Linked DNA regions of Notamacropus eugenii. The protein of the gene in region 1 binds, or shares a complex with, the protein of each later gene. Links are inferred from orthologs where the notes say so. Each region holds a gene or a part of one and is shown in the gene's direction. Other genes may lie near its edges.

Region 1 (3,750 bases):
AAACACACGTGTATAAACGTGCGGATAAACACATGTAAATAAAACACACGTGTATAAACGTGCGGATAAACACATGTAAATAAAACACACGTGTATAAACGTGCAGATAAACACACGTAAATAAAACACACGTGTATAAATGTGCGGATAAACACACGTAAATAAAACACACGTGTATAAACGTGCAGATAAACACACAAATAAAACACACGTGTATAAACGTGCGGATAAACACACGTAAATAAAACACACGTGTATAAACGTGCGGATAAACACATGTAAATAAAACACACGTGTATAAACGTGCGGATAAACACATGTAAATAAAACACACGTGTATAAACGTGCGGATAAACACATGTAAATAAAACACACGTGTATAAACGTGCAGATAAACACACGTAAATAAAACACACGTGTATAAATGTGCGGATAAACACACGTAAATAAAACACACGTGTATAAACGTGCAGATAAACACACAAATAAAACACGCGTGTATAAACGTGCGGATAAACACACGTAAATAAAACACACGTGTATAAACGTGCGGATAAACACATGTAAATAAAACACACATGTATAAACGTGCGGATAAACACACGTAAATAAAACACACGTGTATAAATGTGCGGATAAACACACGTAAATAAAACACACGTGTATAAACGTGCAGATAAACACACAAATAAAACACACGTGTATAAACGTGCAGATAAACACATGTAAATAAAACACACGTGTATAAACGTGCGGATAAACACACAAATAAAACACACGTGTATAAACGTGCAGATAAACACATGTAAATAAAACACACGTGTATAAACGTGCAGATAAACACACGTAAATAAAACACACGTGTATAAACGTGCAGATAAACACATGTAAATAAAACACACGTGTATAAACGTGCGGATAAACACACATAAATAAAACACACGTGTATAAACGTGCGGATAAACACACAAATAAGACACACACTACACAGAATATACACGCGCACTGTCTCCCCAGGGGGCGGGGGCTGCTTCGGGCTTTGTCTGCAGTCCCTGGCACATGCCCCCTGACCTGCTGACCCGCTGACCCGCTGACCCACTTAAACATGGCACGGATTCACGGGGAGGATCAGAGCTCCCAAACGGACGGTGCTGTGCGCACCTCCCAGGCTATGGTGACGTTAGTGCTAACTCAGGGTCCCCGCTCCGGCCTCGGACCCTTTCACCCTCCGGACCGCCTTCCTAACGAGGTGACTAACATGGCCCCTCTTCCGCTAACGTCCAACATGGCCGCCCATGCGGCTGTATCAACATGGCCGCCCTCCTGCCAACTCCCAGCATGGTCGCTTCGGCTTCACGTTGCCAGTACCCGCCGGTGCCGCGGCATTTTACGCCGCCAAAAAGGAAAATGGAGCCTTAGACCCATGATTCCTAGCGTTCCCGCTCGGGCTTCGAGTGAGGGCGGAAGCGGAAATGGCGCCGCCCGCGGCCTCCGGGCTCTTCCTGTTTGGCCCCGGTGTCCATGTGAAGTTTCCCCGCCGCCCTCCCGCTGCGGGCGGCCCTGGCCGGGGAGGAGGCGCAGGGGCGGCCGCAGCTTCGCCGCCCCGGTCCCGAAGATGTCCGACACGTGGAGCTCCATCCAGGCCCACAAGAAGCAGCTGGACTCGCTGCGGGAGCGGCTGCAGCGGCGGCGGAAGCAGGACTCAGGCCACCTCGGTGAGGAGCGGGCGCGGGAGGGCCCGAGCCGGGGGGCAGCCTCGGGGCCGGGCCGGGCGCGTCACGTGAGCAGGTGGCCCGCGGGGGCGGGGGCGGGGGACCCGGAACGGCCCGCTGTGTGTGTGTGTGCATATATGTATATGTACATATGTGTGTATGTGTATGTGTGTGTATATATGTATACATATACGTATACACACATACATATACACACGCACACATACATATATCTACATATATAGACCCGCCTGGCGAAGCGCTGGAGCACCAGAACAGAACCAGGGCCACACGAGCTCAGGTGCTAACATCCTGCCAGACGCTTGCTACCTGGGGGCCCCAGGCAAGTCATTTGACTTCCCCATTGCCTCAGTTTCTTCATCTTAAAAATGTAGAGAACACCCCCAGGAAAGGCAGCGTGACGTAGCCGGAGTCCCCGTATACCTGGGGGTATGTAAACGGAGAGGATTCTGCAATCCTTAAAGTGCTGTACAAATGCTAGCTATTATTCTCTGGTGATATTTTTGCCCTTGCCCTCCCGTAAGTCCCCTGCAGAAGGCCTTCCTCTAAGGCTTTTAGTGCAGCCTGGATACTAATGTAGCACCAAAGCTATCTGTTTGTCCATTTTTTTAACATTTTTAATTTTTTTGTTGATAAATTTTGTTTCATTATATCATACAAATCCACACTCACAGTTTATTCCTTTGTAACGTTTGATCCTTTGTATACTGAAAACAGTATAAAATGTGACGTTTGACTGTGGACTCATAGATTTAGAGTTGGAAAGAACTCAGAGGCACAGAGACTGAGGACAAGAGATGGGAACTGCCTCGCCCAAGATCACGTACAGCTAGTAGGGAGCAGACCTAGTATCCAAACTGAGGTCCCCTGGCTCCAAATGCAATCCTCTCAATCATTTTACTGTAATCGTCCATAAAACTTCACACTAATAGTTTGCTGTTTATTAAAAGAAAGGAAGAATCAATGTTTTTGTCAGTTAGCAAGTATTTTTGAAGAACTTATTACGTGCCAGGCACCTTGCTAAGGGCTGGGGATACAAAGAAGAGGAAAAGTCCTCTGCCCCCAAGCTCAGGTTCTCTTGAGGGAGATAACATGTAAATGATTGTATGAACAAGCTGTGTACTGGATAAACTGGAGATCAGAGGAAAGCACTGGCATTAAAGGGGATTGGAAACGTTTCTCATAGAAGATGGGACTTTAGCTGGGACTTGAAGGAAGCCGGAAGCCAGAGATGTAAATGGAGAGAATTCCAGGCATGATGTAAAAATAGCTATGCATATGCTCTCTGTCCATGGGATGGATATGGGAGAGGGAGAACAAATGGATTTTTTTTTTTAAATAGAAAGTCAGCAGAATGCTACAGATGTGAAATAGTGCCTGAACTTTCAAATAAGGCCACTTAACACATTTTTAGTTTTATTCCACTTTTTCCAAGAGATTTCTCACATAGTGGGAATAATCTGTAAATGTAGGTAATTTGAAGACAGAACACATCAATGCAACTTTAAATTTGAAGGAAAAAGAAAATATAGAGTCGGAGATGGAGTGTCTTGTTGAGGAATGCCAAGGAGGGCAGTGTCACTGAATTGCATGGTCTGTGGAGGGGAGTAAAATGTAAGACTGAAAAGGTAGGGAGGGGTTAGGTTATGGAGGGTTTTAAAAGCCAAACAGAGGATTTTATATTTGATCCTGAAGGTAATAAGGAGTCACTGGAGTTTATTGAATAGATTTAAATTTAATAAGAGAGTTACAACATTATCCACTGTGTCTTGTCTTGAGTTTTGTTTCCTATTTGTTCCCATTCCCATAACGTTGTTGCAGTCGTTGTTTAAGTTCTTCTTTTGCTTTGGCTGTCTTCATTCTGCATCTTTTCATATAGGTCTATTTATCCAGCCCGAACCTTTCTCTTAAACTAAACCCTACATTACCAAGTGTCTGTTGGGCATCTCTGTGGGCATCTCAGACTCAGAATGGCCAGAAGAGAATTTATTATAAATTTTCTAATTAACTGCCCCTC
Region 2 (3,750 bases), on another chromosome or scaffold:
TTTTCCCTAGGATCACTACTTTTCAGCCACGTCTAACTCATCTTATCATTCCTTTGTGCTATCAAGAGGAACTTCGTCCGTCTCCTTCGACAAAGCACGTCTTACCTTTAATTGTATCCTAATGAATACTTAAAGACTAGCTTCTTTAAGGTCAGCTGAGTTTTCGGGCGGACACCTACTACGGCAATGATTTGACCAGCCCATAGTACAGAAAACTCTAACGTGCAGTCTTATTTAAAGCTCTTTTACGGTTCTATCGTGGAAAGAAAAAGGCACAACAACAAAAAACAATTGCGATTTCGCTGAGTCCAACTTGGTTGGCTCCTTCGTAATGAACTTTATTCCAGTGAATGTGGAATGAGAATACAATCACGCCCCAAAGCCCGGGGCTCCGCACCAGCCGTCAAGCGCAGCCCCTCGTTGGCGTTTCTTTCCCGGCGGTAGGAGCTGCAGCCAAGCCCGCACAAGAACAAAGGCCGGTCCGCCTTCCCCCGGGAGGCGCGGTCTTCAGGCTGCCGGGCAGCCCGAGGAGCAGCTCCTCACAACGTCACGGGCCACGACACCGGCCACACCAAGGACCAGCCAGCAGAACGCCGGCGCGCGAGCAAACCCCGCCGGCTTCCGAGAAGGCAGCCAACCCCCGAGGATCCCTCCGCCGGCGGGCGCCCTCCAGCACCAGCAGCAGCAGGGGACCCCGGGAACGTTCCTTCCGCCCGCGGGAGTAGGCGAAACCCACCCCGCCCCCCATCGCCTTTCCCAGGATGCTCCGCGGCTGAACTCCAACCTTCTCCCCTCCCTCCCACTCCGCCCGCCTCCCTCCGTGACCCCATCCCCACACGTCTGCCACCCCCCCTCCCCACCCGTCACTAGGTCGGCTGGCCGGCCTCTCCAGGCGCCTCAGCTTGGGCTCTGCGGGGCGGGGGGGGGCGGGAGCAAAGCCGCCTCCACCGCCGCCGCCCGAGCTAGCCCCTGCTGAGGCTGCTGCTGCCGCTCGCCGTCTCCTTCCCCTGCCCCCAGGCCGGGAGCGGCGTGGCGGGGGCGGGGGGCCCACCCGCGGGTACCCGCCGCGGACTCCGGCTGGACGCAAAGGCGACCTATCGGAAGCCTCGTCCTCCAGGTGAGTGAGCCAGGCCCCGACCAGACGAGACGGGAGGAGGGAAGGGGCGGGCTCGGCTCGGAGCTGGGGCGGGGCTGCGTGGGCTGGGGGCGGAGCCGTCCGACGGGAGGAGCGGGAAGACGGGGAAGGGAAGGGGGTGGGGGGGGTGACGGAGCCTCATTTCCTCTTCCAGCGCCATTTTGTAGCAGCGAGACCCGCAAATAAAGGGGAGAGTCATTCTCTGCGGCGGGAGGAGGAGGAGGAGCCGTCGCTGGGGCCGAGGGCACCCAGGCGGCTTGGGGTGGTGGGGTCGCCCGAGCCCGGCCGCCCGCCGCTCCGACCGTCTGTCTGTACGTGAGGGGGTCGGCGCCCGGGCCGGTCTATGTGACAAGCCGGCGGCGGCAGGGGCTGCCTCGGCGTGAAGAGGTAAGTGCGGGACGCGGGGCCGCCGCCGGAACAGACCTCGCCCGCCTCGGGCCCCGAAGTGACCCCGTCCCTCCCGACGCCCCCCTCGCCCTACCCCGGCCTCGCCCGGTCCGCAGGCCGCTCCCCGCGGCGGTGGAGGAGCCGGGGCCTGCGGGGCCGCCGACTCCGTTAACTGCTTCGCCTCCTTTGATGCGGGGACGCGGATGCTCCCGCCCTAGGCCATTTTACCCTGCTCGGTGTCTGCGGTGGGAAGCGGGAGAAGGGACAGCGAGCCGGGGTGCGGGCGCGGGGCCCGGAGCTCCCGCCACGTTCGGCCGAATTCTGGGTCGACTGGGCTTAAAAAGGAACTACGCCAAAAAAAGCAAAGGTTTGGGTTTGTTTATTTCCTTAGGAATCCTAAATTTAAATTTATCCTAACAAAAAAATGAGTTTTTGGGGAGCGATAATGGACTCCTCCCCCGCCCGCCCCAGTTTTCGCAAACCTAGAGCTAGAATGAGCTTTAATCCGCGGGAACAGGAAACAAAGTAGCTTTAAAGAAGTGTTGGCGTGTTTACATCCAGAAACTTGTTCGGAATCCCACGCCTCCTCCTCTGCCCGCTCGTTTTTTAGGTGAGGCCCGTTTGGTATAAATAGTTTGGGGGGAGAAAAAAGTGGGTGTAACAGGGTCTTGAATTTTTTGACACTCTTTAGTACTTGGTCTTATAAAAATCTGTTAAACTTTGGGGTAGTATTAGTTGCAAGGGGTTAATATGGGTTTTCTCCCCGAATAGCAAATATTTTAAATAATGCATTGTAGTTCGGAGTTGTTGGGAGTCCTGGGTATTACATCTTGCTCTTAAACTGAATAAAAGAAGTGTTTAAATTATCTAGCTACTATAGGGGATAAATGAAAATCATATGAACCCCACCCCCTTTAATCTCTTTTCCTCCTGTCATAAACTTCCAGCCACTCAGTTTTTTTTCTTAGTGACAAATTAAGCATTTTCTGAGTCCTGAAGTTTTTATTGGCAACATATGAAGTTTTTAGAAAAAAATGTTCTTTTGATTGTGTTTTCTGTTACTATGCCTTTAAGTGACTGCTCTAGGAAACAGTGTTTGAATTTGGTTTTAAAAGACTTCAGTTTTAGCCTGGGCTTGGCTACTTGTCATTGAGCAAGCCACTTAATTTCTCTGGGGCTTTAGTTTCTTGAAAGAATATCAAGCTAGTTCTCTAATTTTTCTTTTAGCTCTTGAGAGAATGGTTTACTCTGGTCCCATTTCAAGTAGTGAGAGAGATCTGTTCTTTCATTTTTTTCAACATATTTATTGAATGTTATATGTAATACTTTGAGGAGAGGGTGATGAAACTAGTGTCATGTACTTTTTGCAGAGTATTTTCGTCAGTTTAGTTTTACATTCAACCCATTGATCCCTATGCAGAGCAGATAACTATCCCCATTTTCTCCAGATGAAGAAACTGAAGCTTATAAGATGTTTTGGCTACTTACTGATTTTTACTGAGGGTTACATAACTGTGATAATAGTGGAACCAGAACTATAATCTGTGTTTTCTGACTCCCAAGTTAAGTATTTTTGCCACTATTCCAGAATACCTTCAATGTAGAGTCTAGTTCACAGTTGAAGTTGCTAAGTTTTTTTTATAATTGGAAGAGATGGGAAAGGTTAATCAAACTTTATTTGGAAAACTGAGGCCCATATTAAAAAAGTGAATTAGTAACTTCAATTCAGAACCCAGGCCTTCGGATGTTGCTGTAACATCAAGGTTAAAATTTAAAAATTTGTGAGAGCATATTACTTATTTTAGAGTAAGTGTACATTTATGGAATACTTTCATATTTCCATGTTTTATTGGTATGAAGGAGGTAACTGAATGAGCATTGTTCCCTCAATTTACTGATAGGGAAACTGGGGAAGTCAGGACAAATTTTTTTAAAGCACCTACGCTTGAGCACTTTGCACTTCGCAAATATTATCTAATTTTCACAACAACCTTGTGAAGCAGATGCTATTATTATCCCGATTTTAAAGTTGAAAAAACTGAGATAGACAGGTCACATCTGGTGTCTGAGCTTTGAATTCAGGTCTGCTCAACTCCAGTGCTGTGGCCACTGTGCCGCCTAGTCTCAGCTAGTTATCATAGATTCACAGTGGTATAGGTGAGCTGTAGCTCTTGGATTGAAATTCTTAGGATTGTCACTTCAGTCTCTAATATTTGAGCCATGCCTGC

Evidence for each region. The genes of interacting proteins can lie anywhere in the genome.
Region 2: METTL3 (region 1) and WTAP share a complex: the UniProt entries of both Homo sapiens proteins name them as parts of the WMM complex. The link is inferred for Notamacropus eugenii from reciprocal best matches to the Homo sapiens genes METTL3 and WTAP.

Annotation. Positions count from the first base shown.
Region 1 is NC_092878.1:12,408,926-12,412,675, forward strand, and holds the start of METTL3 (N(6)-adenosine-methyltransferase catalytic subunit METTL3), read left to right. Parts: upstream 1-1,461; 5' UTR 1,462-1,615; coding exon 1,616-1,715; intron 1,716-3,750. UniProt on the Homo sapiens protein: The METTL3-METTL14 heterodimer forms a N6-methyltransferase complex that methylates adenosine residues at the N(6) position of some RNAs and regulates various processes such as the circadian clock, differentiation of embryonic and hematopoietic stem cells, cortical neurogenesis, response to DNA damage, differentiation of T-cells and primary miRNA processing.
Region 2 is NC_092873.1:253,466,371-253,470,120, forward strand, and holds the start of WTAP (pre-mRNA-splicing regulator WTAP), read left to right. Parts: upstream 1-987; 5' UTR 988-1,117; intron 1,118-1,289; exon of another isoform or gene 1,290-1,522; intron 1,523-1,913; exon of another isoform or gene 1,914-2,132; intron 2,133-3,750. UniProt on the Homo sapiens protein: Associated component of the WMM complex, a complex that mediates N6-methyladenosine (m6A) methylation of RNAs, a modification that plays a role in the efficiency of mRNA splicing and RNA processing.